Linked DNA regions of Arabidopsis thaliana. The protein of the gene in region 2 interacts with the protein of the main gene of each other region in a biochemical or structural test. Each region holds a gene or a part of one and is shown on either strand. Other genes may lie near its edges. The genes, in order: CDPK9, ABF4, CPK32 and CPK4.

Region 1 (7,390 bases), on a different chromosome or scaffold from region 2:
CATGCCTTTTTTAGCATAAGCTGGATTAAACTTCTTTTTTAAAAAGGTTGGATCATAAGTTCTTGGGTCCTCGAATGGTCAAAAGTTGTGTCACGTCTCTTATTTTGGTTTTCATTTTGGCATTGTGATTGTCTACTTGCCCAATTTGTTATATGTTGGTACTTAACTTTAGATTTGCAGACTTACTGGTAGAACCGACCACAGGAAATTACTATCCTACAATTTACTTCAATGAGTTTTGGCTGCTAAGGGACAAGTTCATTCCAGTCAATGAGACAGTCTCAGAACTACCACTAAATCTGGAAATAAGTCCCATAAGCATGATGAAGTGGCAACTGTTTCAGCAAGTTGATCAATCTTTCCAGATGCAGCGTAGCTATGGAAGCATGCTTGACGGTGAATCTGACGAACTAAAGGTAATTCTGGTTATTTATAGTCAATCACCATCTTCTATCCATGAACTTATGATTTGCTATTAACTTTTGAAACTAGTTGGTGGAGAGACACTATTGATTATTTTCTTTACATATCTCTTGGTTTCTCCCTGGAGCTGTTTGTAAATATTATTTTGTTGTGTAATTTATTTATTACAGAAGGTGTTTTTGGAAGGAAATCCCTATCTTTTGGGGATCACGATGTTTGTTTCGATGCTTCATTCAGTGTTCGACTTCCTGGCATTCAAAAATGGTAAGTAAGACCGAAATCTTTCCTAACAATTGTAGGAATGATTGTTGAAATTTTACTAATTTTTGGCCTACCCTGCAGATATCCAATTCTGGAACAAAAATAAATCTATGGAAGGGCTGTCTGCAAAGTCTGTTGTACTGAACTTTATCTGTCAGTTTGTCATCTTCCTCTACTTGCTTGACAACGACACTTCATGGATGATACTGGCTAGTTCCGGAGTCGGTGTCTGCATTGAGTTCTGGAAAATAGGGAAAGCCATGCGCATAGAGGTACTTATAAGTTCTTATATATACATTTCTAATGTTGTTGCTTTGCATGTAGACCTCAGTAAACATTTAAACTTAACAGGTTGATCGAAGTGGAATGATTCCAAGGTTGAGGTTCCATGATCGTGAATCGTATGCAAGCAATAAAACCAAGGAGTATGATGACATTGCCATCAAATTCTTATCCTATGTGCTCCTCCTCCTTGTCATTGGCTTGTCCATATATTCTCTCGCTTATGAACGCCACAAGAGCTGGTATTCTTGGATACTATCTTCACTAACAAGCTGTGTCTACATGTTCGGTAATAGCCTTCACCATCCTTAAAATAACTGTTGAGAATCTCTCTTGTGAAGCTGTTTTGAGTTTGGGGTTTGTTTTGTGCAGGTTTCATCATGATGTGTCCTCAGCTATTCATCAACTACAAGCTTAAATCAGTGGCACATTTACCATGGAGACAGATGACTTACAAGTTCCTCAACACCATTATCGACGATCTCTTTGCCTTTGTCATCAAAATGCCGATTTTACATCGACTTTCTGTATTCAGAGATGGTGAGTAAAATCTATCAAATTCCTCTCTATTTCGATTCAGATTTTCAGAAACAGTCTTATTTAATGGATCTCTCTCTCTGTGTTTCAGATGTGATATTCTTGATATACTTATACCAAAGGTGGGTTTACCCAGTGGATAAGACACGTGTGAACGAGTTCGGTTTTGGAGGTGAGGATGAAACTGCAGAGAAGAAGTTGATCACTGAGAAAGAAGAAGAAGACAAGAAAACAAACTAATCTCTTCTCTTCTTCAAATTTTATTACAGTTCAGTTATAGTGTCTTAATTTATTTTTGTTCTCACTTTTGGAAATTGTTTTGTTCAAGTTTAATGTCAACCCTCAAGACACATTATTAAGCAACTCCTTTGGTTTTTTGTGAAAAAGGAAAAAAACAACATTTTCTCTAAAGCTCTGAGATATGGTAAAATCCATGGGAAAATTCTACAAATTGTTGAGAGCTTACAATTTCAATTACTAAGAGTTGTTAAAAGCAGAATTAGAGTAAGCAGAAACAGCAAGTTGTATCATATGACATGTTTTGCTCCATAAAGTCGCTAAATTATTTTCACTAAAAATGAGTACTTCAGACATTCATAGACTCATCAGGAAGAGTAGTTCCAAAGTTGAGAGAGTTCCTCATAGTTCTCCGACCAATCCCTCCTCCAGTGCCATTTCCTTTCCTCATCATTGCCACAAATTCTCCATAGTCTATTTGTCCATCCTACAAAAAAAAAGCAACCACCATAAACATTTCTTCCAAGCTCTTCATCAAACAAACAGTAAAGATCATTTGTGTACTACTCACATTATCTTGATCAATGTCTTTGATCATTTCATCAAGATTAGAATCGTTTATACCAAACTCCTTCCATGCCTGTTGAAGCTCTTCGATAGTGATGTAACCACTTGCATCCTTATCAAAGAAAGAGAATGCAGCTACTAGATTCTCCTCTCTCTCCAGCTTGTTCAAGTGGATTGTTGCAGCTAAGAACTCTCCATAGTCAATTGTTCCACTCTCATCAACATCAGCCTAACACACACACACACAATGAGAAGATGATATTACTTCCAGCCACAACAAAGATGTTAAAAGTGAAAGTTGATAATAAAGGAGTAGTAGCTAGTTTACCGCACGCAAGAGTTCTTGGATCTCTGATTCCATAAGCTCTGACCCAACACGTCTCATACTATCTTTTAACTCTTCAAACGTGATAGTCCCACTTTTATCTGTGTCTATCATTTTGAACAGTTCTTTGAGACCACCGATTTCTTCCTCAGATAGTCTCTCTGCAATAACTCGTAAAGCCATCTTCTTAAGTTTGTTCATTGCAGAGAACTTCTTCAGGCGGGACACTACCGCGCAGTCCAAAGGTTTATCTGGAGCAACCTTATCATCCACAATCCACGGATGACCTGACACAAGAACATATGAATCAGCTTACAAGAAAAAAAAACTCATCAACTTTCGCAGACATGACAACTTACACAACACTTGATGAGCAGTTAGCCTCTTTTTAGGATTGCTTTCAAGCATTTTCTTTATAAGATCTTTGGCACTCTCTGAAATGCTAGGCCAAGGATTGATCTCAAACTCCAACTTTCCCTGTAAAATCTTCCTGAAGATGCCTATTTCACTCTCTGGATACAGAATAAGACACCGAGAGAGAGTAAGCACTTGGTGGAAACAATGCATTTATAAAGAAAGAAGGCATTGGAAATATACCAGCCCAAAAAGGAGGAAAACCACATAAGAGAATGTAGAGGATAACTCCAGCACTCCATACGTCACATTCAGGACCATAATGCTTATGTAAAACCTCAGGTGCCACATAGTAAGCACTACCAACGAGTTCCGAAAATGCTTCTCCTGAAAGACAAAGATTTGTGTGTCCAAAACAAGAGCTCCTTATCAAACTAATTCAGCTAAACCACACACAGTCACTGCATTTGAAAGATGGGATCTTAAGCAAGGGGTCAATGTGCTCTTTTAAAGTACTACTAATAGACAAACTGACTCATCAAGTAACGAAATTGATACTCATAAACATCCCCAACACAGTCACGGAACAAAATTAGAGAAGAACAAGAACAAATTCACACCTGGTGTGCAGAAAACAGAGAGGCCAAAGTCAGTAGATTTAAGAGAAGCATCTTCATCAGAAGAAGAAAACAAGAAATTCTCAGGCTTAAGATCTCTATGAACAACACCAAGAGAGTGACACGCCTCAACAACCCCAACAATGGTCTTGATAAGCTTAGCAGCTTCTCTTTCACTGTAATGACCTCTCTTCACAATTCTATCAAACAACTCACCTCCTTCACAAAGCTCCATCACAAGATGCACGTTTTTGGTGTCCTCGTACGCACTCTCTATACGGACAACGTTGGGGTATTCAGACAAGTGATGCATTATCTGGATCTCTCTCAGAACGTCGTCGTAATCTTCTTGACAAAGGAGCTTCCTTTTGGGTATGGATTTGCAGGCAAGCTTTTGACCTGTCTGTTTATGGGTACAGAGGAAAGTGGTTCCGAATTGGCCTTGTCCAAGGACTTGACCAAGAAAGTAATTGTCTTCAACGTTTTTGGTCTTGTAAGGAAGAACCCATCTGGTTCTTGGTTTGTTCGCCATTCTTGAGAGCTTTTTTTTATTTCTTTGAGGGTTTCGTTTAAGCAGAGGAAGAAGAAGAGAAACTGTTGAATGAGGAAAGAAACTGACTTGGAGAAGGCATTGAAGAGAGAGAGAGAGAGAGAGAGAGAGAGAGGGAAGTCAAGAGTTAGGAGAGAAATAAAACCAAGTTTTGGACAATGATTGATTAGCTAATAATAGCTTTCCATTTCAGATTTTTTGTCCACATCAAATGAAAAAATGGGAAGTAAAACAAATTCCATGAATGCTTTTAACTGAATGAAGGAAAAAAATTCATTGATAGTTGAATTATTAATTAGTTGATATTTTTATATTTTCTAAATATATAAATTTGGTCAAATACTCAAATATATTAATCAGGTAATATACTACCAGAGTCCAAATTTTTATTTTTATTTTTAACTTTATTAAAGTTAAATAAATTTAATTGTTTAATAAGGCACAATGCATTCAAAATGTACAATATTGCCTCTTTTAACTTTTAAGAAATAAAATTATATGATATCTAATAGTATAGACTAATTAAAGAAGTAGTTGTAGCGATAGTGTTAATTAATTTAATACTTTATTGCATACTTTTTGCAAAAAAAAACAATGTAATTTACAACTTAAAACTGCAATAAAAAGGAAAAAAAAAAAGTTAATTGAGTTTTTATGAATAAAATTTTCTACTTAATGAAGATATGTATCTACACTACGTACAGTACTTAGGGCACTAAATAAAGGCAAAAACGTCTCCTTCGCTTACATACGAAGAAACTGTAGCTCGTTTTAAATTATAGCCTTTTTTTCCTAAACCTAAATTACTTTTATTCAAGAAACTATTTTTGTCACATGTATTTTCTGCTAATATGATGAAGACATCGAATCATTTTAGAAAAGAAAATTAAAAGGAAAATTTCATTCTCTTTCATACGCATTCTAGTTTGTGTCTTTGCCTCCTCTCGTTTGGTTTCTAACTTTCTGTCAGTGTCCACTTTATTTATTTAGTAACCATCAACCCTGTGCTTAATTACATTTTAAATCCATATATCTTCTAAACATCACATTTTTATACTATTGTAGTGATTGAATTATCAAATAAATGAGATATTTGGTGAAATCATGGACAAACACATGAAATCTACAACAGAATTCCAAATGAAACTAGATAAAGGAATATTATACAAATCCAAAATTTTCTTCAAAACAAAAACTTGTTTGAAAAAGACTTCCGGTACAAATTGAAAGCTCTCCTGAAGATGATACGAAGCATTTTTTTTTTCGAGAAGAGTTAGAATTTTAAATTCTACAACAACAACTGATATGAGATTGGATGTACACAAACAATGTATAAGGAGCTTAATTCTTAATCATGAAGCAGAGCTTTATTCTTTATCACTTTGGTCTTGAAGGAGCTTTGTTCTTGATCATGTGGCTTAAACCCCTCGCTTTTTCTGGTCCATAGCCGCCTGTTGAAGAGAGTAAAATATGAGAGTTCTTGAGAAAAAAAAACACAAACGAATGAATCAGCAAGAACCTGAGGAGCGTAGAAAAATACCTGTAGCAGTCTTTGCATGACGGCATCTTCATAAGCTTGAAGACCGGCACCTACTATGTTACTCTGCGGTTCTGCTTCTGCAGATTTCTTAGCCGTCAGAAAATCAGTTTGGGCTGCTTTCTGAAGAGGTACAACCAACAATGGATTAGAAAGATTGCCACACAATGTCCTCGTCGCTGCAACCTATAAGACAAAAAACAAATTGAATCAATTTAACTTCTTGATGTATAAAGAAAAAGAGAGAAACCAACTTAGTAAAATAGTACTCACAGCTCCATCCTTTGTAGCCATTACAATAAGAGCAGAACATTTCTTCTTGGTACTCCTAATAACAACATCTTCAACCTCACCAAACTCAGAAAACACTTCTCTTAGCCTTCCAGCTGTATACCCTTCACCACTTTTTTCCCAAGAAACCTTCAACATTCTCTCTTTATCGAGTTGAACACTAGCTCCAGCACCACTTCTTTCTTCTTTTCTCTTTTCATCTACATTACTCTCTGGAGTTTGGAAACCACTTTTCTTCTTCGCATGTCTTGCACGTATCCTATCTATCTCCTCCTTAAGCTTCCTAGCGATTCTCTCTTCTTCATCATAAGCTCTAGCGGAAGGATTAGGAGAAAAAGCAGAACGCTCCCTTTCCTCCAGATCTGACATCATCTTACGCCTCTTGGAATCTACTTGCGATTTCTTATGTTGTTTCTCACGCTGGATTCTAAGAAGATCATCAAACAGCTTCCGGGCTTTCTCGTCTTTGAGAACCTCGTAAGATGTCTTAAGCCTCTGAAATTTCTCATGGGCATCAGGATCATCAGGGCGTTTATCAGGATGCAAGTCCAAAGCTTTCAACTTGTATGCTTTTGCAATCTCCTTCTCGGTAAGCTTCAGAGCTTCCTCTCCAGAAGCTAAACCTAGAACAATGTAGTGATCGACAAAACCCTCCATTTCTTTCTTCTTCTAAACCAAATCACCCTACTGCAGCAAAACCAAGAAGAAGTTAGTACTCTAAAAAGCTTTAGCAAATTCGAAAACACAGAAACAGATAAATGCTTCACAAATCCAACTGTACAATAACAGATAATTCAAGTGACACACAAACTTGGCAACATATAATATCGGCTTCAGAATAACAGAATGAACATAGTAACCATAAAAAGCAATTCATGGTCTCACTTGCTATTAACCCTAGCCATCAAACAGGGAATTCACAAAGAGAAAACTTTTGACACAGTTGATAGGAACCCTTGATTTGGTTAAGCAATTTCAGAGCAATTAGTTCAAAAAGTTAAACCCCATCAAAACATCAACGACAACAATTCAATTAAACCTAGAACTCCGAATATCATATACAAAGCTTCGTTCTTTTACTTAAAAATCAATAACGAGTCACAGAAATCACAATTATCAAATTTCATAACGTACCTTTCCGATTCCTACCCTCGAATTCTATCGGGATCACACCCAAAACAATACAATTCAGATGTCAAAACTCTTCGGTGGATTAAAGTGAAATCCCGGAGAAGTAAGGATAAGTCCCAAACTAGGAATTATCTTCAAAGGAAGGGTATACTCAAGAGTAGAAGATGATCTGAGAAGAGAAGATCACCTCCTCCAAGAGCTTTGGGTTCTTTGAGTCGGCGTAAATAACACAGGAGAGATTGTGAAAGAAGAAGAATAATTGTTTTTGATTAAACCGG
Region 2 (8,314 bases):
ATCTAAAGATTATTTGGTAGTTATCTAAATAATAGTCCTAATAGGTTTTGGATTTGGTTTATGAGATTCTTATATAAGGAGATGCTAAGTTGTGGCATAACTCATTGTGTTTAAGCATTGAGAGTTTGAGAGCTTAGGTTTTAAGGTATTTTCCTAAGTTAATAAAAGAGAGTTATTCTTTTATATTTTGAGTTCTTATTCACAATCTTATATCCTTAAATTCTATAGAAGGAACTAAGGAAGAGAAATGTATAGATCGTCATGGATGAGCATATACATGTAATTTTTGCCTCCTCTTAGAATTTTCTAATGACAACTCCAAAATAGAATGATTTCATATATTTTAAAAAAAAAAGAATGATGATGACTATTATTACTCTAGTTATAGCAATAAGCCAACACTATTCATCACAACATTTATTTTTAAAAATTTATCGACAAATTGATATCACACTATTATGAGACAAAACTAATACATCAAAATGCAAAGCTAACGATAGATATAAATAGTAGTTAATTAAAACTTGAAAATACAAAAATGACATTGTATTAATTGAATAATATAAAATATAGTGATGTAACTAACGTTCAAATTTCAAAGTACATAATCAATATGGAAACTAAAGATAAACAAAGTCGTCCTTTCAAACAAAATCCTTTCAGACTTTGGATCTGAATGATATGTAGCTCAAAGAATCAGAGGAAAAAGGCAAATAAAGCCAACGCAAAAGGTCCAAGCTAGAACAATGGATTCATGTCCGGGAAACCGTGGTAGTAGAAGACGTGGTGGTGGAGGACCACACATGACATAACTAGGGTTTTTCTTGTGAACTTTTTCTTCTCTAGCTTCACCGTAATATCTTGTTTTCGATGTTCTCTAAAACTAGCAAATCGTGTGTTTACACTACTCTTTCAAACTACTTTTCTCCATCTCTGACCCTTGAAGTCATAGCCATGTAATCTCTTTGCATTTTAGTAGAATACCCTGTAACAAGAAAAAATAATTATAGATAAAAACAACAACAAATAATCTTAACAAAACAAATGTTGATGCTTCAACGATTCGTCCTTTTTTAACACATTTTCTTGATTATATTTTGTGGCTAGAGGCCCTAGTCACAAATGCCCTCACCAACCCTTCAATCATTGAATATATACAAGCACAACCACATGCGATCATTTGGGATCTGAAATATTAATACAAACTAAGATCTCAATCATAAAAAAATAGAATGACTACAAATCTATTAGTTAATTAGGACAATTATTAAACATTTTTTCTATTCTCTATTTTATGTTTGAATCTTACTTTTTGCTAAAAAAATATTGCTCCATTGATATTTATAGTTTACTATAGTCTTGGTGATTTGTATGGATTTGTAAAAAGAGGTCAAGCGTTGATGGAGATGAACTCTACTTCTCACATCACTCGAGTCTTTTTAGATTAGTTTTTTTTTGATAAAAAGGAAACAAAGCCTAATTATGAATTAGCAAATACAACTACATCTCCATAGTCGTCCCTTGAATCTTGGTCGAACTCTGTAGCATCAAGGTTGAAATTAAACCTAAATGACAATCGTGTGTACGTGTATAAATATACATATAAGTGATGATTACATAAACTCATAGTCATATATGGGATCTATTATGGTTTTATGCTCACTCTATACGTCGGCCTAACGTGGCAAAAGTGGATATTTCTTTGAATATAAAATAGAAAAACAAAAAGCAAATAAGCAAACATTGCAATAATACCAAAAGAGGAATGAAAACATATTTCTGTATTTGGAAGTAATGATCTTAGACTCCACGCGACTGTGTTCTTTATTGTTTTGTTTCGAAGAGCGGTGTGATATTCTTATTGGCTTGCAACCAAAATGGGCTCCCAAAAAGAAAGCAAGCACCACCACTTCTTCTATCTGATGAGGGAACACTTTTAACATAAAAGTCACACAACCATAACATATATTCAAATTTCGGGTGATAACATAATGATAAAAATAGCACAACCCAATTAACTACATGTTTTGGTCATATTTTATTCATAGTTTATAGTTTTTTCTTTTTTTTTGGTAGGAGTAAAGAACACTGTCGCGTGGAGTCTAAGATCATTACTTCCAAATACAGAAATTTGGTTTCATTCCTCATTTGGTATTATTACAATGTTTGCTTATTTGCTTTTTTTCCTACTTTTTTTTTATAACATCTAGTTTATAGTTTTTGTTATATATTCAATCTATTTAGTGTCTAAACAATACTGATGATATCAAATGATTAAAAGGCTTTTGAACTGTAAAAATGACAAACAAATATCTATGATCTATGTCATAATTGAAAAAAAAAAGTTACCAATAAAGATTTTTTTTTATATAGGTAGTATTTCTTGGCTAATATGGACATGTATATAATTATATTTAGTCTTATCTATGTATGAAATTGGTTTGGATGTTGAAAAATGAATCATCCTTATCGTCAACCATTTTGGAAAGAGACAAATCTAGATTTTGATTTCTTTTTTTTTACAAATTAAAGATTTTATAATATATCACAATATTGTTGAAGATTACAATTGTGGCATATGTCAATTTGAAGATCAATTTGAATTTTTGATATACATCTAAAATAAGAAAACTAAAAGAACATAAGAAGTAATATATTTTTAAAAAATTGACCTAAAAACAAAGAATAATCATTATTATGATTTAACTCCAATGAGAAAACAATTCCAAGCACGATCTCCAACCACTCGAATCTTCACTGTCGGAAACAAACGGCCAATGTTTTACCACGTCGCATTCTTAATTGGATGTAAGTCTTTACAAGCACTTAAAACATTAAACTCTTTTTTCTCATTCGTCCACGTTTCTTTTTAAATTAATACTGTTAACAGATAATTATTCACAAAAAAATAATATCTGAAGAACAAAAAAAAAGGTTTCAGGGCCTTAAAATGGCTGCTCGTGTCGAGGCGGCAGCAACACACTTGTCGTCTCTCCCTGTAGCTTCTCTGGAGTTTTCGCAGTCACGAATCTTGTTTTGAAGAAATTAATTTGGTAAAACATATTTTCGAGCTCCTTTCTCTTTTATTATCCGTTTTCTGACTTCTGGATCTGTCTTTGTCGGATCATCCAATTTTTTTGTTGTCTTTCCTCTGTTTCGTTTATGAATCATGATGATGTACATGTTGTAACTGAAGTAACTTTTGGTTATCAAATTAGAGTTAAAGAGAGAATTTTTACGAGATATTTGTTATAAATTTATCGATTTGATTCTTGTTGCTATTAGGGTTTTGTCTATTTGATTCGATCGGGTTTTTTTTAAGAGAAATGGGTTGTGGAATCTGGAATAGATCCTTCTCATGCTTGTTGGGTTTTGCTGATTTTCTCGTTTTTGGTTTTATGAGTAAACTCTGTATCTGGTGTGAATTCGTTTTCCATCAAAAAAAGTCATCAAATTACGTTTTTTTATAAACATTATCCAAAGATCTGACCTTTATTGATTGACTTTACTGTGCTTTTACATTTGTTCGCACGCATTTATGTGGTTTGTCCAGTTTCACTTTAGTATTCTTTCTCTTATATGGATGTGAACATGCATTAGTGACACATAGTTCACTCCTTTTTATTTTCCTCGGAAGTTCTCTTTTTCATGGATTCTTAGCATTATGTAATATACACTCTAACTGCTTTACTTTGATTTTAGAACAAGGGTTTTAGGGCTTGGATGCTTTGTTTTCATTGAAAAAGAAGTAGAAGGAGTGTATACAAGGATTATGGGAACTCACATCAATTTCAACAACTTAGGAGGTGGTGGTCATCCTGGAGGGGAAGGGAGTAGTAACCAGATGAAGCCAACGGGTAGTGTCATGCCCTTGGCTAGGCAGTCCTCGGTCTACTCCCTTACCTTTGATGAGTTACAGAACACACTAGGTGGACCGGGAAAAGATTTCGGGTCGATGAACATGGATGAACTCCTGAAGAGCATATGGACTGCTGAGGAAGCTCAGGCCATGGCCATGACTTCTGCGCCAGCTGCTACAGCGGTAGCGCAACCTGGTGCTGGTATCCCACCCCCAGGTGGGAATCTCCAGAGGCAAGGTTCGTTGACGTTGCCTAGAACAATTAGTCAGAAGACTGTTGATGAGGTGTGGAAATGTTTGATCACCAAGGATGGTAATATGGAAGGTAGCAGCGGAGGCGGTGGTGAGTCGAATGTGCCTCCTGGAAGGCAACAGACTTTAGGGGAAATGACACTTGAAGAATTTCTGTTCCGTGCTGGGGTTGTAAGAGAAGATAACTGTGTTCAACAGATGGGTCAGGTCAACGGAAACAATAACAATGGGTTTTATGGTAACAGCACTGCTGCTGGCGGCTTAGGTTTTGGATTTGGTCAGCCAAATCAAAACAGCATAACATTCAATGGTACTAATGATTCTATGATCTTGAATCAGCCACCTGGTTTAGGGCTCAAAATGGGTGGAACAATGCAGCAGCAACAACAACAACAGCAGTTGCTTCAGCAGCAACAACAGCAGATGCAGCAGCTGAATCAGCCTCATCCACAGCAGCGGCTGCCTCAAACCATTTTTCCTAAACAAGCAAACGTAGCATTTTCTGCGCCTGTGAATATAACCAACAAGGGTTTTGCTGGGGCTGCAAATAATTCTATCAACAATAATAATGGATTAGCTAGTTACGGAGGAACCGGGGTCACTGTTGCAGCAACTTCTCCAGGAACAAGCAGCGCAGAAAATAATTCTTTATCACCAGTTCCGTATGTGCTTAATCGAGGACGAAGAAGCAATACAGGTCTAGAGAAGGTTATCGAGAGGAGGCAAAGGAGAATGATCAAGAATCGGGAATCAGCTGCTAGATCAAGAGCTCGAAAGCAGGTGAATATAAATCTAACTAAACTTATCTAGTCCCTTTTGTTTGGTTTGACTATTATGGTCTTATATTTTGCAAGACTGCATTAAACAGAAACATAAAACCAGCAAAGATATCTTCTATCCCGAACCACTTCTTGTATTATGAAAGATGCTTTATCTTCCATGTTTTTTAACTATCCACTAATTACAGGCTTATACATTGGAACTGGAAGCCGAAATTGAAAAGCTCAAGAAAACGAATCAAGAACTGCAGAAAAAACAGGTTTCTTTCTGTTTACAACCTCTCTGTGTGTTTTCTGTTTTCCCCTATCAGACTTTTAGAACTTGGCTCTGATCCTAGCTTCCCCTGTATTGCAGGCTGAAATGGTGGAAATGCAGAAGAATGAGGTAATTGTTTAAGAACTTTTCTTTTCATTGAGTTCATTCTGAAACCCTTGACCATACTTGATTAGGACCAACATCAGCAGCAAAAGACTAAACTTAAGTTGTAGCTCTGATAGTGTATGTTGGTCCTTATCAAGTATGTCCCCAACTGAAGCTCAAACCTGAGATAGCTTTCGAACATTTCGTGGTCTTGCTTCGTTTTGAATAGCCTTTTTGATTGTGTTGTTCACTAGTATTCTTTTCAAAATTAGCAGCTGAAAGAAACGTCGAAGCGACCGTGGGGCAGCAAAAGGCAATGCTTGAGAAGGACATTAACCGGACCATGGTGAAGGATGAAGCAACAAGAACGGATGAACCAGACTCCTAGCTTGGGATTAATGTAATAGGATAGTGCTACCTGTACAGGAGATTAAGAGAAATTGAGTGAAAGATCTAGGTTACAGAGTAGGAGAGAGTTTTCATTATGAATAAATGACATTTTGTGCCCTGACCTTTGTTAGTTTAGGTTTAGATTATCCTCTGTTATTGACTTATTGTGCTTTCTGGTTGTTAGGGTTTCTAAAAGACATAGTTGTTTATATATATGTCTGACTTTGTATTCCGGATTTGGTTCTCTTGTGTCATTAACTTGGGTTTAGCCATTATTACTTAAGAGTGGCAACGAAATCATTCTTGACTCTGGTTGGAAAACATATGTCATCTTTCAAAACTGCAATTAGAAAACAGTTAGGATGATCCTAAGTGACAAATTTCTAGAAAAAATGTGACTAATTTGTCTCTGCTCACTCAAAAAGAGAGACCATTTGGTGGAGAGTGAGGGGAGCCAGTCTCAAGCAGAAAACTCCGGCTACAATGCGACCTTGAAGTAGTACTAGAGGAAGAAGCCAAGCCACGGATGTCTCCACTTTGGAACCCTGAGTCACCTCTCAGTGACCGTCCTTTGTTCTCTTCAACTGCCATTGCAAGCCCGAGATGCAACGGATCACAGCTTTCGTACAACAGCCTCAGAACTTGCTTGATTGATGGCCTAGCCACGCCTTCTTTCTCTGTGCACCATCTTACAACTGCCACTACTGTTTCAAGCTGTTCTCCATCTATGCAGTCTTTGATTCTCGGATCCACCAGATCTATGCGTCTTGATTCTGATACCAGCAAAGGCTGAGACAGTTCTACCAGGTTCCTACCTTCATCAACCGCTCTTTTCCCAGTTATGATCTCTAGCAACACCACTCCGTAGCTGTACACGTCGCTTTTCTCTGTTAGTTCATGTGTTACAACGTACTCTGGATCTACATAGCCTGAAATTCAGATTTCATGGTTTTAGATTTTGCTCAATATTTCAAGAGTAGTTAATTCCTTAGTATCCTGACCTGGAGTTCCGCGGATATCAGTATTAACAGGTTCAAAACAAATGGAGCCATCTCTAGAAGCATGTGCAAGGCCAAAATCTGCAAGCTGCACCACATAACCCCACACCCACAGGTCAATTCTTTAAGAGGTAAAACGAATTGATAAGTCAGTGACCAGTTGATGTGAAAGGATGCAGACGCACCTTAGCAACAAAGTGCTCGTCGAGTAATATATTGCTTGACTTAATGTCTCTGTGACAGAGGGGAGGGTCACAGTAGAAGTGAAGGTATTCCTGCAGGAAAGGAAGCATATCCAGTTAAGAACTAAGAACAGTAATAATAATATAAACCATAGACTAGAGTATCAGTTTTATGGAAATTTACCAGAGCATTAGCCACATCAATTGCGATTTTCATCCTTGATTCCCAACTTAGTGGAGATTTTTCCGTGGCTGCAGAGAGGAATAACAACGTTCAAGATTCTTAGTCAAGTCTAAAACAGAGGAATGCAATCTGAAAATCATGAGCATACAGTGTAGATGATCCTTCAGGCTCCCATTTTCCATATACTCGTAGACAAGGAACCTGTAATTCTCAGGTTAGATGAGCAAAGGGCAATCCACACAAATGGGGAGAAACGAAATGAAGGTCAACCGTAATCATTCACCTCTCGTTCTTCTTATTACAAAACCCTTTCAAAGCAACTAGGTGGCGGTGATGCAGCCTGGCGAGAAGCTCTATCTCTCTGCAAAATTCATCTTCAGCTTGTTCAGAGCTCTTGTTCATCTTTTTTACAGCTGCAACCAACCCATTACTGAACTCAGCTTTGTAAACAGTCCCAAAGCCCCCACGGCCAATCACCGCGTTGAAATCTTCAGTTGCTTTCCTTATCTCCTTGTAGCTGAATTTCCGAAAACCAAACGAATTACCTGAAAAATCAAAACCACACATTTGTTTTACATGGTCTAACATCCCTTGTTAGTGTACCATCAGAAGAACTCTTCACCTTCATGAATCATCGACCTTGGGCGGGGAGAAGGAGATGTCCTTGTTAGATTACAAGCGATGCTCTTGGAGTCATCAAGTTCTCGTTTTTTTCTTTGGATAAGAACTATTAGGACTACAACCATCACAAGAGCAAAAACTGTGACAGCAATCCCAATAGTCGGAACCATTGTCAAGTGATATGGATGGTGACTTTTTAATGGAGACAAAACAAGATTATCGCTGCTTGGACTATCAGCTAACACTGGAGGAGAAGCTTCTGGACTCAGCGATGATGGAGACGAACCTGAGTAGATGTGTCAAGAAAGTCAGAAAAGAAAAGAAAGTCCAATCTTGATCTGATACTAAGAAGATTATACAGGACACACTAGTAATATATACAGGATCTGTCAAGCATCTTTCCCAATATAGAAACAATGATAAGATTCTACACTCCATGAATGGTATGTTGACAGAGAAAACAGTATATACCTGGAGTGGGGCTAAGCTCAGGCACATTAAAGAAGCAGCTAGCTAGTTCAAGAGCCGATGAATTGTCAACCCGGCTTGCTAACACAGCATAAGTTGCATCACGACAAGTACTCAGTTTGATGCTATTATCAGCACCAACGAGGCTCCTAAGGTAGCTGATACTGGAATTCAAACAATTCCTGCATTGATCACCCGGAGGAAGCGGGAGTTTGCAGTT
Region 3 (8,409 bases), about 15 Mb from region 2:
AAAAGCTACTTCCTGTTGTGGATAATTCGTGGAACGACACACTAATAAATAATAATGCATGGTACGATAATGTTTTAAATCGAACCTAATATATACTGTACGTAGGTCCGTCGATCGGTACGGATTATGAAGATAGAGTTTGGTATATATCGACTCATTACTTATTTTACGGATTATCTTTTATCGTTTTCCTTTGTTGGTTTTTGCATTTCGAACACTTGGTTCTTTTTCATTATTGATTCAGATAAAACGAAAAAAAAGAAAAAACAATCAAGCTCTTTAATGATGTCCTCTTATTCAGTCATTCCTAATAATTGCATTTAACCCCCAAAATAGTTATTAAAGAAAAACGAAAGAAAAAGTACGTACGTAGGTGAATTTTTGTAATGAAACGGCGCAAGTGGGTCTCATCCACGTCAGCTCTGTTTAATCAAATGTTAAAAGATCTAAAGTATCTCCTTAATTAGCATTGATCAGTTCACCATGTCCTTGTCTAGATTCCTTTTTCACTTTGGACTTTTATCATTAGGTGTGTGATACGATTATAAATTTTGTTGGCTCTATGTATATAACTTTAATACGACGATTAATCAATGATAAATTACGGTGATTACTATAATGTTAACTCTGTAATCATGTATAGTGTCCTTCCAAATCATATTGTTATTTACTACAAGGTCGACATCGGACATGTGTATCCTTCGTGTACCGTTCAACCTCACGCCTTTTGCATGATTGATTTGTTTGATTTTCAATAAAATTTGGCAACAATACAAAAATAGCCACGTAAGTCTCCCGTGTCGATGAGACTACTACGAGGTGGATATTTATTAGACGTACCAAAAAGCAATGATTTGAGTTAAATTGCTTTTCACTTGTATGTTTGTGATTATAATACTTAACAGATGTTCAGTGATGCTATTTTTATCTACATTGTGTGGGTATCAGATTTGTAGGATATCAATATCATGAACAGTTGCAAACTCATCGAGTAGATATGATTGTAAATTTTTATTTTTTATAAGGCTGTTGATCAAATATTCAAATGACTGGTGTCTTATGCTTGATGACAATAATATAGAGGACACAAATATTTAGTCCACTTGTTTAGATTTGATGCTGCGATAAGCCAATAACGACGTTTATTATATTTTTGTCTGAATTTTCCTTCTTCTCGACTACTATAGCTATATGGGATTGATAAAAGTTTATGGCCAATATAGTTTCCGTTATATACTTATTTAAAACATTGTACAGTTTTGAAAACAAAACTGTGACCACAAAGACAAAGTCGACCACCAGGACAAAACGAAATGGGACTTTAGTTTCTGATTTTATTTGTACATCTGGCTTTGTGTAAATTGAGTTAATTACAAAATAGGCATTTGTCTTAAGAATTTATTTATTAAGACATTTCTCATATGTCTTCACGAAAACATGTACTTATTTCTTGTGAAAAGTCATCTCTAATATCATTTCATTGGCCTCATCTTCTCAAGCCGAGAAAGTCTAATTAATGTTGTAGTGTTGTGTCGTTGTATCTGTGTATGCATCGCAGACTGTCAACTAAACGGTTTGGGTTTACAAGTCCAATTCTAGGGTATATCGTTTTCACTTCTTCACCTATTTTCACATCATCCTACCACTTGCAAAAATGGAATATCAATTTCTCACTTACTCCAGAAGGTTAAAATCGTCCGAAATCAGACAATAAGCGGCCCATTCAACTGTGCAACATACCTCTTTTGAAATTATTAAATTTAAAATGCCTATATTCGATATAAGCTCGTGTAAGTTTATCTGTAAAGCAAGCTCTCATTGTCAAAATCCATAACTCATATAATTCTTGAATGGTTATAGAAAATTACAGATTGATCACAAGAAAAATTGATGATATTATCTTTTATCAACACAAGATTATACAAAATATCTACACACAGCCAAAGGCCAACACGGTTTTTCTCTCTTGATCCCCATACTCAGCTCGCTCATTAGCCAGGATATCAAACACACAACTCTTACAACTTTATATGCCTAAAAAGCTTTAATCGTGGTGTCATAAAAAAAAAGCAACCCAAGAAGATAAAAATTAAGAAATTAAGAAAGATTTGCATCCCTTTGATTCAATCTTCCAGACTGGTGAGTGACACAGATTAAGCCTCTCTCATCTTGTATCACCATTGACCTGCAACGACGCATCTTGCATCAGTTTGAGACTGATACTGTTAAACCGTTCTCTCGAGTACTGTCTCGAAGCTTTTCTCCAATCTGTTCCTGTTTTCATCATCGTTACAAACTCTTCGTAACTTATTCTTCCATCCTACAAAAAAAACAATTTTCATGATGGTTAGTTCTCTATGAGATGGGATTTTTTTCAACAAGAAAACGAGAGTGAAATGGTGAAGTTAACCAACCTTGTCGGTGTCAACATCACGGATAATGGCATCAACAACTTCTTCACTTGTACCAAGTTCGTCAGACAAGGCTTCCCTTAACTCCTCTATTTCGATATATCCGTTATTGTTTTGATCAAAGAACGCAAACGCTTTCTTGAGATGCTCGTCATTGCCCATTTTCCTTAGGTGTACCGATATGGCAATAAACTCGTCACAGTCCAAATATCCATCTCTATCGATGTCTCCCTGCAAAGTAGAAGAAAACCATCCAGAGCTCAGTTAACTGCATTCAAATCACACAAAAACTGGTATTGAAAAGTAATGGTAAATCAAAGCTCACAGCATCCATCAAAATTTGTAAATCATCTTGCGGAATGGCATGACCAAGTTTCTGCAACCCGATTTTAAGCTCGTCGATGTTAATCTTCCCTCTTTGGCTTGTGTCCATTATTTGGAACCCTTCTCTTATACCTGAAGCTTCTTCATCTGATAAATGCTCAGCAATAACCTATCGAGATAACGTAACAAGACCAAACGAAACTATTGTTAGGCTTTTTAGATCAGAAGAGATATACATTTTCGGATAGTTTATAAGTAATATGTATTTTACCCTGAGTGCTCGTTTCTTGAGCTTGTTCATGACGGTGAACTGCTTCAACCTTGCCCTCACTGTTTCACCCAATGATACATTGGGGGCTGTCTTTGCATTCTGTAACCACGGGTGATCTGAGGAAAATGAAGCAAAGACCGATTAATACTCTTTGTCTGTCTCAGATTCCATATAAGCAAATTGCATCATATAAATCTGTACCTAGGACTTGTTGAGCTGTAAGACGACGCTTTTGGTCAGGATCAAGCATTTTCCTGATAAGGTCTTTTGCGTTTTCAGAAACCTTGGGCCATGGGTCCCTTCTGAAGTCTAGTACAGATCGAATAATTGCTTGTGCAACTCCTTGTTCAGTTTCTGAAAATGGTATAGAAAAAAACAGAAGACCAGGTTCATTATTCTTATGATCACTTCTTCATATACTACCCCTGAAGACAACATGTGCTACAGACGGCCCAAGAAGAAGGAAACATAGACTGACAAAACTAACCTGCCCAGAAAGGCGGGACACCACATAGCAGTATGTAAAGAATTACACCTGCACTCCAAATATCAACTTCTGGACCATAATTCCGTTTTAGCACCTCGGGAGCCATGTAGTACGGACTACCAACGATTTCGTTAAACCTCTCGCCTGCAAAGAAAATAACGGTGTGGGTTAAGATTATTGACAAACCACAAAGCAATCAGCTATCTACTGAGCAGAAAGACCACATTACCTGGTTTAAAGAAAACAGAGAGACCAAAATCAATCGCCTTAAGAGGTGCAGTCTCCTTCTTGTTTCCAAACAAGAAGTTCTCAGGTTTCAGGTCCCTGTGCATTACCCCATGCTTATGACACACCTGCAAGAACACACTCATTAATCTCACATCTAAAATCACTCCACAAGACTTTCAATTTACATGAAAAGAAACGAATTTTGAATCTTTCTGCAGCAAATTGAGCCCTTTAAAGCAATGCTACAAGTCAATAATGTCCAAGAAACTGAAACCAGTAACAAACCAAGACATTATACGAGGCCATTGCAATTCTGCAACAAGTAAAGACTAAAGAGATACAATAAACAGCAAAAAAACCTTGACGAACCTGAACAACTTCCATGATGGTCTTAGTGACAGCAGCAGCAGCTCTCTCAGTATAATGCCCTCTAGCAACAATCCTATCAAACAATTCACCACCTTCACAAAGCTCCATAACCAAATGAACAGCATGCTCATCCTCATAAGTCTCCTTCAAAGTAACAACATTAGGATGCTCAGGCATATGCCTCATAATCTCAACCTCTCTCCTAACATCTTCAATATCAACAGCTGTCCTCAGCTTCTTCTTCAAAATCGATTTACAAGCAAAAACGTCGTCTGTCTCCTTATCAGTACATAGATACGTAACACCGAATTCTCCACGACCTAGCTCTCTCCCCAACGTGTATTTAGACTCGATCTCACGACCTGTTGGATCATTCAAAACGATAAGCTTAAGAGGTCTTCCACCTCCATCTCCACCACCGTGGTGAAGACCGTAATCAATCGAGAAAGGGTTTTGCTTCTTCCTTCCTTTTTTGGGTTTGTTATCGTTTTGAGCCAATGATCCTGCTGTTCCGCAACAATTACCCATGACTTTTCCGATCAAACCCAAATCAAAACCGATGAAACTTGAGAGATTGAGGACGAAATTCCAGGAAAGTAGGAAACTTTAAGAGAATTCTGGAAGAGATGGATGAGAAAAAAACGAAGGAGGTGAAGAACAATATATGAAAGGGTGGAAATTTTCAACGCGTGAATACCAAGAAGAACGTCAAATCATTTGTTCGAAAATTAAAATTGCGAAAAATTAATTACAGAGAGAGAGAGAGAGATGATGATGGAAGGAAGGTCAAGAGAATCTTCTTCCCTCCCTTCTTCTCCAGCTGCTCTATGATTGTTTTTTTTTCTTTTTTTGTCTGTTTCTTTTTTTCACTTTAAATTTTTAATTTTCAAAGAATGTTTCTTACTATTACATTACTCTAATGTGAAATCAAAATGCCTTCAGCTTTACCAAATTACTATTGACAATATTACCCCTATATGTGATTTTAATTATTTTTGGTGAATATATGTGATCTTAAGTTAAGGCTTAAATGCCGACAAAAAAAATTAAGGCTTAAATAGTTAAATGTCCACCAATTGTTTTTTTTCAAACTCCTGCAGAATTTTTTTTATTTTTAGAATATTTTTGTTCATTTTAATTTTAGAAAACTCTTTATTTTTATAGAATGTCTAACAAAATTCTAGCACCAAATAAATATATATCTGTGAAATGAATCATACAAATAATTACGAAGACAGGGGTGTTTCAGGAATTTTACCTCATGGATTAAACAGAAAGCGGAGTCTGTGACACGTTCTTAAACTAAGCGCCTTGGAAATAAAAAAAAGTTAAGGGTGAAACCGTAAATACGCTCGTGTTTGGGTTCATAAATAAGCGGCCACCTTTATTTTATGTTCTGTTTTTTTTTTATAATTAAAAGGTCAAACACGGCGATTTTGACTCTTTTTAATCACTTTCGTCGGACCCAACTAACTAATTTTTTTGACTTCGATACAAAACAACCAACATATGTAATTACTCAAAGTTATTTGCTTTTTCTGTCAAGTTGATGATTTTGGTTTTGCACTATAAAACTTCTACCAACAAATCGATAAACGCATTTTGATTTATCAAAATTTAACTGATATAGAAATAAATTTATTTTTATTTTTTTGTCAACTAATTTAATAATTGTTCAGATTACAGATATATGTGCAATTGGGTCGAAACCTGTATTTAAAAGTAACATAAATACTTAAAATTTTACTTTAGAGTTAGTTTATATATAAAATAATTAGCAAAGTCAACGGAGTATGAATGTGGTAAGATACTTTATCAAATGCCTCTAAATTAATATCAAAGCTCCTGATGGACATTCCTTTCCTTACACGAGTGTTTGTCTTACTCCTACCAAGTCAATGATTCAATTTGTAATTTGTTTACTTAGATTACCGTTACTAAAAAAGAGAGTTAAGTGCAATATATAATTAGGCAAGAAATGAGGGGTTTTATACAGTACACTCTATTTTCTTTAGTATTTGATCATTTACCAAAGACTGAGTCTTGTTTGTTAAAACGACCAAAACAAAATATATCTATGATATTGATGGACAAATAAATAGGAGAGTTAACAAAGAAAGGGTATGTAGATTTCTACCAAAAAAAAAAAAGGGTATGTAGGCCCATTATGGCAGAAGCAAAAACCGAAAATAAGCCTTTCTTAATCAGCCCATCTCAAAATCTCTTTACTTCTCTCTTTCTTGCACTTGTGTGTATAAGGTCTATGTTTTGTTCACCGTAAGAGTGTGGTAAGAAATACATACAAGTTGTATGCAAAAAGGTTTTAGACTCGTCTGAGCAAGATTTTAGTGGGTTCGAAATTCCATTCCTGAAATACGTAGGGTTTCGAGCTTTGCAGCCTGAATTAGTAAATTGTGGCGTCTTAAATTACATTTTTGTTAAAGCTCTTAAACACATGAGTGACAGGCCAAGGTAGAGAGAGTAATTAAATGAACAGAGCTGGAAACTAAGTAAGAGCTTGAACCTTTTTTTTCTTTTCTTTAACTCTTTAGTCGTATCAGTCTCAGCAGATGGAATGACAAAACAATACATGTAAACAATTTTCTTGGCTTACAAATAACATTTTATTAGTTTTTATGTGGTGCAGACAAAGAAAAAAGCATACAATTACAAAATATATCAGTACCTTTAAAACTCTTACATTCTATATATAGTTATATACACATTGATTCCCAACAGAAAATGGTAGCCTATATATATTGAGACATTTGGATGTAACTAAAACTAGTAATAGCTTAGCTAGGAAAGAGAGAAGAATGATCGTTTGGCCGGAGGTCGTCCAACGGCTCTCATGAGATTAGCAACTTCAAGAACCCTCGCAACCTCCGTCCCTCGTTTACCTTCCGCCGTGGCTCTCCTCTCCTCCGCCTTCCTCTGAGCTTTTGCCACTTTGTTTTGTGTTTTCTCCATCGCCTTCGCTCTCCTATCTTCCAGTTTCCTCTGCATCCACATATATGTATCAATCGCATAATCTATTATTCCAAAGACAACATCGACGTCTATTTAGTCAGTCTTTTGGATAGCTTTATCACATTTCAAATATTTGATATATCACCACCATTCAAGGATCTATCGTTTATTTGTGTTTCTGCTTTTTTTTCAAATAAACCCATAATTCTTACATTTTGATTTTTTTTTTTTGGTTGGATAAAATATGCATTTTATAATTTGTAAAAAACGCTTGTCCACGTTTATCGTTTGCAATTTGAAAACGTTACATAGTTTTTCTAAATTATTTTGTTATACATGTAAAAGCAAACAGTTTCAAGAAAAGCATGTTATAAGTCATCTTGTTCTCTTAATCGATCGGATCTAACTAAGATATTCGTAAAATAGAAAAAAATGAGTCACCTCGATTTTCTTCATCCAAGAGTTAGCTCTATGAACCTGCTCATTCAACCAACCGTTAATAACGGCGTCTTGTCTCTTAAACCTATTATTAATCTTAGCCACCTTCGCCGTTTGCCACGCCGTTATCTTTGCTTCCACCTCTTCTCTCTTCACCCTCTGCACCGAAGCAGTCGTCACCATCCGGTTCTGACCACCTGATGACGCCAACACAATATTATTCTCTGAACCGTCCCGGTTGTTGTAATCGTCCGGTACAATCGCCCATGGATTTGAATCCTCCTCAGGCACCTGACCATGATCACCAACGTCATCGTTTTCGCCGATCCTAGTCAGCTCGTTTCTTTCATCACGTATGACGTCACGATGACCACCTGATTGGTTAGTTCCGTTACTGTTGTTGTCCATGGAAGATCCGGCGATGACTAGAGCGTTGAACTCTCTGCTCACGGTGGTGAAATTCTCACCGGAAGAAGTAGTTCCGTCGCTAAAAGCAATAGACCTCGACGGAGACAAGTATCCTCCTCCTGATCCCCTTTGTTGTGGCCGAGTAAGCTCTGTCGTCGTCGTCATCGCGTGAATATCTCTCACGACTATCTCCGACGACGGCGTCTCATCCCGGCGATCGGAAGCATCGGTCGTACTTGTGGTGGAGTTCTCCGGTGACCTTTCTTGACCGTACAAAGTCAACATCAGAAGAGTTGTAGTAGTAGTAGTAGTGGAGTGTTGTAATTAGCTAGTTTAGGTCTGATTATAATTAGGTGATGGAAGGAGAAGAAACAAGGTCAGGAATAAATAATCAATGATTAGGTTTTAATAATTCGTGTAACGAATTAAAACGTTTAGTTTACATGAGAGGCAAAATTATAACAAGTGTAAAGTCTTTTCCATGAAAGCTACGTTGGTCCAGT
Region 4 (8,143 bases), on a different chromosome or scaffold from region 2:
AATATTTAGAGTCAAAAATGAATATAACAATAAAAAATGCAAGTACATAAGATGAATCTAATTTTACTAAGTATAAAATAACAAACAAAACATAAATTAGTAACAAAAATAATTAACATATTTTTATCTAAACAATTTTCAAAACAAACCCACGCGTACCGTGGGAATTCATCTAGTATTTATGAAAGTTGGTTAACTTTTCATGTGAATGATACATCATCATTTTAGCATTTATCACATGTTCTCTAAATAGTAAATGTAAATAATGGTTAATTATACATATTATTTAATTTTACATATTTAATTGTATCAATATTAATATTTAAAATTATTTTATTAGTTTTCTCATGCTCTAGGATTTTCTGCTAATTTTTATAATTTTAACTTAAAATATGGAATAAATAATAGTATATTGAATTAGCTAATAGTTCGAGTAGGTTATTCTTCAGAATTTTTAAAAAGAGTATGTGAGTAGCTCCACTATCAAATTTTTGAGGTTTGTATAATTATAACATTATAATTTATAAAATTGCTATAGCACAAAAATTGTTTAAAGATTGTGTGAGTGATACATTGTTGAAAATATTGTTAAGAATGTATTGCTAAAGATATTTATAGCAATTCACGGGCTTGGTATTTGGAGCTCAATAATTATCTCATCAAATCCAGTTTTAGAAACTAAGTGTCTGAATGCATTATTTCCTTATTTGTACATACAAAATGTTATACCATCCTCTATTCATTGGTCTATGTTAATGACATAATCATCACATGAAACAATTTGGATGCATTTGAAAATATTTTACAAAATCTAGCTATCAGTTTTCACTTAAAGACTTGGGTGAGTAAATATTGAAGAATAACTTACAAATTGATTCTATCAATCACAAATCGCAAACCTGAATGCTTTCGGTTGAACAAATCTCGTGCAGTTACTAGTGTTCCTCCTCTACCAAAATGACCAAGATGATATAGCATCCTACGATATGAACTAAGAAACCCAGTCTTGGTGGGATATCCGAAATCAACAAGATAGTACTTCCCACTAGGCGGATGTGGGAAAAAGGTTCATTCCTCGCACAATGATTCAAAACTTTTGTATCATGTGCTCTACAAGATATACTGACATATGCATATATGAATTTCATATCGAAGTTACATATAGCAAGAACATTCATTATATGTTCTATCTTTCTATATTTATATTTTTCTACAGATTGACTTAGACGGCGAACCGGGACATAAGTTCCATCAAGTGCTCCAACACAATCTCTAAAAACAGGCCAATATCAATCATCATTCTTCTAAACAGGGTTTACTCTCGTAAATTCACCTTCTTGTGGCTTTAGTGTATCCACTACAAACTTTAAAAGAGCACTCAAAACATCATCAATCTTTTTTTTTTTTACCGTATTCAATGACCGTTGATATCTTGTAACTATATCTCAAACAGTTTTATCCTGACCAACCACCTCGAAAAGTATTAGTGATTTCTACCTATATAGTGAAGAAGACCGTAAGTATTAGTTCCAAACATTTAGACCCATTATATAGAAACAGACATAGAATTTGGAAATTTTGAATAAACCGATCAAGCTGAGAGTAACTAAGAGAACACAAATAAATAAGAAACTCAAAATATTTAAGAGATTTCAGTCAGTGAATAACGAAAGTACCTCGGAGTAGAGATTCAACGTTGTATTAGAAGTAACCAACGACGGGAGATCTAGTTGAGCTCAAGTCACCGGATAATATTTCGCAAGATTGCGGCGGCGGAGAGAGATTGGTTTCAAAGAGTTTGAGATCGATGAGTGTAAGAGAGAAATGATGAAAAAGAAGTAGAAGAAATAGAGTTAGGTTTGTTTGTAGTTTCTCAAACATAATAAGGGTATAATTGTCATTTATCATATATAATACAACTTTTAAGCGTTGACCGCAGCATTATGCCGCACTTACTTGCATCTGCCGCTGTTGCAGCAACCTAGATAATCAAACGAACATCTTATTAAAAAAAAACAGAAGCTGAAAGCCCAAGCTTATTTAAAGATGGGCCAATAGGGGCCTGCATAAAGTTCCAATTTTATTTAGAAAATATCTATTTAACATCATTTATGAATAAAGTGTCCTCCGATGCTATTTGGGTTTGGTTAAAGATGGATTTTGGAGGTTTTCCAAATGATGTCAGATTTTGAAGATGAACAATGAAATAAATATATCTAAAGCTTATACATCTAGGTCTCTTACCCAACGGCGATGAAATAAAGAATACATGTACTAAAACGACGCATGCAAAATAATACCTGAAATTTTCTTTCTACGTTGGAACTCATTGCAAAAGATGAGGAATATTGCATAGCCATGGATTGGATAGAGCCATAAAGAATCGGTACACATTGCTTTTCATATTTTAATATCGTTAAGGCGTAATGTAATAAGTATTAGAAATGGATTTTTAAAAGTATTTAGATAGTTCGGGTTTAAATTTTATTTTATTGCTGATTGGACTTTGTTTTACAATTATAGAGAAATAATTTTGTGTTAAATTATAGTATTATACGACATTCACACAATTACATTTACATTAACATGTACCACGTCTATTTTATAATATTGCTCCAAAACGAAAGAGTGGTCTTCACGACGAGCGAGGTTTAAAATTTGTAGTCGTGCATTGCAAAAAGCTGCGAAAACCGTGTGAACTCTCAACCAAACCAAATATGATATGAAGAAATTGGTTCTTGTCCATTCGGTGGTTAGTGTGCATGCATGTCGGTGAATTTTATATGTTTTCCATTTACGACCTTTTCTCTTTATATCATATAGATTTTTAGGGGAAAAAAAAATCATATAGATTTTTAAAAAATCATGTTCCCAATTAAGACATAATGTTTAGTAGCCAAATTGAGAACCAACCTTTTTTCTGTTTATTAAATAATTTAAGTGGATGGATTTTACACATATATTTTAATGTCTTACATAAATAAAATATCATGTTATTTTTTTTGATAATATCATGTTTTATTGATAAAATCCATACATACTTGATACTTGCAAAAAATATCATGCACAAATTTATCTCTATAAATGGTTATCTACCTTTTTTTTTTTTTTTTTTTTGAACACAATTTACCTAATAATCTTAATAAATATAAGAGAAATGTAACGCATACTTTTGTTGGACATTGTTTTTGGTCGAGTCTGATTGGTTTTTTGTTCAGATCTATCGGATTTATGTATTTAAGATCTAATAAACAAATTATAAAAAATTTGATTCGATTTGGTTATCGATTTTATTAATAATGTTAATATAATCCGACTTACTTTGGTTAGAAAAATTAATTCAAAAGTAACAACAAAAAAAAATTGGATAACAAAACCATCTAAAATCCTGCTAATTAATTCACATCTAATAACCGAATCCGAACCTAAATGACCAAACCATTTGTGTAAAAATCTCAAGCCTAGTCCCTATATTTCAATAGATTTTTTTCTTTTTTTTTTGGTCAAGATCAATAGATTTTTTTCATCAATTCAATTTATTGCAAATTTGCAATAATAGTTGGTAAATACTATAAATGTAAATGGTCACGGGATAACAAAAGAGCAATAATAATATAATAATTGCATAAGACGAGTCAACATGACCAAGAAACATTGAAGGGTTCGTAACTTCGTATCATCTTCCTCCTCCTCCTTTGATAAACACCAAAAAAAGGCAGAGACTTTCGAAATCAAGAACAATGGAGAAACCAAACCCTAGAAGACCCTCAAACAGTGTTCTTCCATACGAAACACCAAGATTAAGAGATCACTATCTCCTCGGCAAAAAGCTAGGCCAAGGCCAATTTGGAACAACCTATCTCTGTACAGAGAAATCATCATCAGCTAATTACGCTTGCAAATCAATCCCAAAACGTAAGCTTGTATGTCGTGAAGACTACGAAGATGTATGGCGTGAGATTCAGATCATGCATCATCTCTCTGAGCATCCTAATGTTGTTAGAATCAAGGGTACTTATGAAGACTCTGTTTTTGTTCACATTGTTATGGAAGTTTGTGAAGGTGGTGAGCTTTTTGATCGGATTGTTTCTAAAGGGTGTTTTAGTGAACGTGAAGCTGCTAAGTTGATTAAGACTATTCTTGGTGTTGTTGAGGCTTGTCATTCTCTTGGTGTTATGCATAGAGATCTTAAGCCTGAGAATTTCTTGTTTGATAGTCCCAGTGATGATGCTAAGCTTAAAGCTACAGACTTTGGTTTGTCTGTCTTCTACAAGCCAGGTTCGTTGTTGATTCTTCTCTTTTGATTGGAATCTTATGGTTTTTGTCTTTGTTGGTTGGTTCAAGGAAATGTTTTGATTTGGTTTCTTGATTCGGATTTGCTGCTTGAGCATTGTTAGGGAAAGATTGAATTTTGTTATATCTGGTTTTGACATTTAGTTGATATATATGGATGTGTTGATTGTGCAAGGTTTTGTTATATATGTAACATATGCTTATGGTTATGAAGCGATCTTATCAGATTTTATTCGATTCATTGTCTAGATTATGTTGAGAAATGTCTTGTTTGGTGTTGAAAATCGGTTTCATGATATGTTATCTGTAGAATCATTTGTTGAATGGTCATTTCCAATTTGCTGCTTGAGCATTGTTAGAGAACCAATAATTTTCTGTGGCTAGATCTTTCTGAATCTTTTCTTGCAAGATTTACATAGTTTTGTTGTGTTACTTATGCTTATGTAATGATGCTATCAGAGCTACATTGTGTCCGACTAATTTCAGTGCTTAACAAAATTTTCAATTGTGTGGGTTTGCATCTTCAGGGCAGTATCTGTATGATGTAGTTGGAAGTCCGTATTATGTTGCACCTGAGGTTCTGAAGAAATGTTATGGACCAGAGATAGACGTGTGGAGCGCCGGTGTTATCTTGTACATCTTACTAAGTGGGGTTCCTCCTTTTTGGGCAGGTAAGTTTGTGAAAGCTAGTACCGTTGTTACTACTGAATCAAGTATATTGCTTATGTGATTTAAGCATCCATGAGTAATTTGTTTGCAGAAACCGAGTCAGGAATCTTTAGGCAGATATTGCAAGGGAAGATAGATTTTAAATCTGATCCGTGGCCTACTATCTCAGAAGGTGCTAAAGATTTGATTTACAAAATGCTCGATAGGAGCCCCAAGAAACGTATTTCTGCACATGAAGCATTGTGTAAGTTGTTACTTATGATTGTTTTCCTCTCTGCTACATGTATTTTGTTGTTCATTTCTGTAAGATATAAGAATTGAGTTTTCCTCTGATGATATTATTAGGTCACCCTTGGATTGTTGATGAACATGCTGCACCAGACAAGCCTCTCGACCCAGCAGTCTTGTCGCGACTTAAGCAGTTCTCGCAAATGAATAAAATCAAGAAAATGGCCTTACGAGTAAGAAAGTTGTAGCCCTTTAGTCTCCACTCTCATTGCTTATTTTCAAGAACTGATTTCCCTGTTAGGAAGATCGACTAAGATAACACATTTTAAGAACTATTTTCAGGAAATGAATAAACTTAAGTAAATGGCCTTATAAGTTGGAAAGCTATAGTTCTTTAAACTCTCAATGCCATTGCTTATATTCAAGAACTGATTTCCCGGTTTAGGTAATCGCGGAGAGACTCTCGGAGGAAGAGATTGGTGGTCTGAAGGAATTGTTCAAAATGATAGATACAGACAACAGTGGAACAATCACCTTTGAAGAGCTTAAAGCAGGTCTAAAGAGAGTTGGATCTGAATTGATGGAATCAGAAATCAAGTCTCTTATGGATGCGGTAATTATACCAAAACAAAAACTCTCTTTTAGAATATTGATTTCTCCGTTCTTCTAGGAATCACAAAGCTTAAATGGTGTTTTGCAGGCGGATATAGACAACAGTGGGACAATAGACTACGGTGAATTCCTAGCAGCGACATTACATATAAACAAGATGGAGAGAGAAGAGAACTTGGTGGTTGCGTTTTCATACTTTGATAAAGATGGTAGCGGTTATATCACCATTGACGAGCTTCAACAAGCCTGCACAGAGTTTGGTCTCTGTGACACTCCTCTTGATGACATGATCAAAGAGATTGATCTTGATAATGTAAGAAGCCTTCATGATCTGTTTCCTTTGTCTTGTTTCTTAGTGAGTTTGGTTTAAAACTGATGATGAAAATATGTGGTTTTGTTAGGACGGGAAGATTGATTTCTCAGAGTTTACTGCTATGATGAAGAAAGGAGATGGTGTTGGGAGGAGCAGAACTATGAGGAACAACTTGAACTTCAATATAGCTGAAGCTTTTGGAGTTGAGGACACAAGCAGCACTGCTAAATCTGATGATTCACCAAAGTAATTATAATCATCTATATACTTGGAATTGAGAAATGAGAACTCACAAAAGAAAAACTGAATCTTTCCTTTTTGTTTTCGTTTCCACTTTTGTAGATGAGCAACTTTCTCAATTTTGTTATAAGCATGGATAATTTTGCTTCATATTTTCTGCGTATAGAACCATTATATGATCAGAATCACCCATATTTGGTCAAAGCAATGTCTTCAAGCATTTACATAATCATGTTTGTTATACATAAGCCAATAGGCTGCAGAGTCAGATCTCTGAATCAAGTATTCAATATACAAAGCCAATCATGATTCAGTAAACTAGCTACACAAACACTTACTACTACAAGGGGGTAAGAGAAGCTCTCAAATCGAAGACAATAAACAAATCAAAGCCAGAGTTAGCGATTTTAAGCTCCGCGATGTTGCAGAAACAATCTTCTTCTTTTATCTTGAGCTCATAAACACCTTTGAAATGCTGCCATGCGACTGAAAGGTGCTGCTCATCAATATCTATATAAATGATTATACTCTTCAGTCTTCGACTCTTCATTCATATACTCTCTTTCTCTTTAGAAGGGCAGGGAATATGGAGATGGATCCAATGAGGAACAGCACTGACAAGGTCTTGAAATCATACAAATCCTTTACTGATCTGAGATCTCCAAGAGCCAAACCAGCCTGTGTAAATGAAAGTAAATGTTAGCCTCTTAAACACGAAAGAACAGCGGAATGAGATTGAACAATAGACTCACTCTAACTGTGATGTACGAAGCTGGCATAAGACCGACTAGAGTCGCCAAAAAGAAGACGTGAAAGGGTATGTCAACGATTGGAGAAGACAAATTGATAAAGAGGTTTGGAAGTGTTGGTGTTATCCTTAAGAACAGCATGTAGTTTAGCAGCCTATCTCTTCTTTTCGCAATCTGACCCATTGAAGATTTCAAGACATTAATGCTTTCAGAACAAGAGACATTACTAAATACTAATCAAACACAAAAGAACTTACCTCAGCTTGGAAAAACCTCAACTTTTCAGGCCATAACCAGTTAACCAATGGCCTACCGACCAATTTCGATAAGAAGAAGCAAGAACATGCTCCAGCAGTTGCATTAAGGACAACAAGAACAAAACCTCTAACCACACCGAAAAGAGCTCCAGCAAGCAATGACATAAAGATCGTTCCAGGTATCATAAATGTCTGCATAAAGATATACGTCGAACAGTAACCTAAAATGAACCGTGCTTGGTACTCACTTGCATAAGACCCAAGATTCTCTCTGCACATATTCATCATATCAATATATCATCATCATATAGTAAGTCCAAGCATATCACATTCAACTGAAAACGCAACTTTCAAATCAAGTCTTAATGCTAATGCATGTACTTATTTTGAAATTCAAGTAACACTACTAAAAGCTAAACACTTTCAGTTTCTACATTTGCATAAATTCAATTCTCAATCTATAATACCAAACAACAAGCTAATCACATACAAACAAACTGAGAATGCTGATTCTAGAATCATGTCTTTAAGCTAATTTTCTGCTCTCTAAAGTCTAAACCAATTTATCGGAATCTTCGAAAGATTCAAACTTTCAATATGGGTTTTTGAATTAGAATTCAGATTCAACAGATCACTATTAAAAAGCTAAACACTTTCAATTCCTACATTAGCTTAAACTCAATTTTTTCAATCAATAGAACAAACGAACAAGCTTATCACAAACAGAAAATTTTCCATCAATTTTCCGAAAGATTTGAACTTTCAATTTGGGTTTAAGATTT

What was found.
Region 1: of the proteins of ABF4 (region 2) and CDPK9, one has a biochemical effect on the other in vitro, tested with the Arabidopsis thaliana proteins (one study listed by BioGRID).
Region 3: the proteins of ABF4 (region 2) and CPK32 form a complex in vitro, tested with the Arabidopsis thaliana proteins (one study listed by BioGRID).
Region 4: of the proteins of ABF4 (region 2) and CPK4, one has a biochemical effect on the other in vitro, tested with the Arabidopsis thaliana proteins (one study listed by BioGRID).

What each region holds. Positions count from the first base shown.
Region 1 is NC_003076.8:7,948,299-7,955,688, forward strand, and holds CDPK9 (calmodulin-like domain protein kinase 9), read right to left. Parts: upstream 4,322-7,390; 5' UTR 4,136-4,321; coding exon 3,607-4,135; intron 3,374-3,606; coding exon 3,230-3,373; intron 3,145-3,229; coding exon 2,992-3,144; intron 2,920-2,991; coding exon 2,636-2,919; intron 2,537-2,635; coding exon 2,312-2,536; intron 2,228-2,311; coding exon 2,090-2,227; 3' UTR 1,904-2,089; downstream 1-1,903. Other genes in the region: AT5G23575 (Transmembrane CLPTM1 family protein), read left to right, coding at 181-416, 594-687, 766-956, 1,036-1,255, 1,339-1,506, 1,595-1,743; AT5G23590 (DNAJ heat shock N-terminal domain-containing protein), read right to left, coding at 5,572-5,604, 5,694-5,876, 5,964-6,638. UniProt on the Arabidopsis thaliana protein: May play a role in signal transduction pathways that involve calcium as a second messenger.
Region 2 is NC_003074.8:6,684,184-6,692,497, forward strand, and holds ABF4 (ABRE binding factor 4), read left to right. Parts: upstream 1-2,858; 5' UTR 2,859-3,053; exon of another isoform or gene 3,054-3,702; 5' UTR 3,703-3,772; coding exon 3,773-4,891; intron 4,892-4,979; coding exon of another isoform or gene 4,980-5,024; intron 5,025-5,078; coding exon 5,079-5,150; intron 5,151-5,245; coding exon 5,246-5,275; coding exon of another isoform or gene 5,276-5,287; exon of another isoform or gene 5,288-5,523; coding exon 5,524-5,601; 3' UTR 5,602-5,940; downstream 5,941-8,314. Other genes in the region: AT3G19300 (Protein kinase superfamily protein), read right to left, coding at 6,059-6,570, 6,643-6,727, 6,825-6,914, 7,006-7,073, 7,154-7,206, 7,289-7,550, 7,628-7,912, 8,098-8,314. UniProt on the Arabidopsis thaliana protein: Functions as a transcriptional activator in the ABA-inducible expression of LTI65/RD29B (AC Q04980). Binds specifically to the ABA-responsive element (ABRE) of the LTI65/RD29B (AC Q04980) gene promoter.
Region 3 is NC_003074.8:21,294,734-21,303,142, forward strand, and holds CPK32 (calcium-dependent protein kinase 32), read right to left. Parts: upstream 4,972-8,409; 5' UTR 4,619-4,971; coding exon 4,091-4,618; intron 3,847-4,090; coding exon 3,723-3,846; intron 3,638-3,722; coding exon 3,494-3,637; intron 3,361-3,493; coding exon 3,208-3,360; intron 3,123-3,207; coding exon 3,007-3,122; intron 2,905-3,006; coding exon 2,737-2,904; coding exon of another isoform or gene 2,686-2,736; exon of another isoform or gene 2,643-2,685; coding exon 2,415-2,642; intron 2,321-2,414; coding exon 2,165-2,320; 3' UTR 1,724-2,164; downstream 1-1,723. Other genes in the region: AT3G57540 (Remorin family protein), read right to left, coding at 6,890-7,090, 7,502-8,191. UniProt on the Arabidopsis thaliana protein: May play a role in signal transduction pathways that involve calcium as a second messenger. Involved in maintaining Ca2+ homeostasis in pollen tube tips by regulating CNGC18. Functions as regulator of the calcium-mediated abscisic acid (ABA) signaling pathway.
Region 4 is NC_003075.7:6,045,820-6,053,962, forward strand, and holds CPK4 (calcium-dependent protein kinase 4), read left to right. Parts: upstream 1-3,621; 5' UTR 3,622-3,740; coding exon 3,741-4,278; intron 4,279-4,820; coding exon 4,821-4,964; intron 4,965-5,053; coding exon 5,054-5,206; intron 5,207-5,307; coding exon 5,308-5,423; intron 5,424-5,635; coding exon 5,636-5,803; intron 5,804-5,890; coding exon 5,891-6,115; intron 6,116-6,203; coding exon 6,204-6,365; 3' UTR 6,366-6,561; downstream 6,562-8,143. Other genes in the region: AT4G09580 (SNARE associated Golgi protein family), read right to left, coding at 6,902-7,033, 7,108-7,278, 7,362-7,632. UniProt on the Arabidopsis thaliana protein: May play a role in signal transduction pathways that involve calcium as a second messenger. Functions as a regulator of the calcium-mediated abscisic acid (ABA) signaling pathway. Phosphorylates ABA-responsive transcription factors ABF1 and ABF4 in vitro.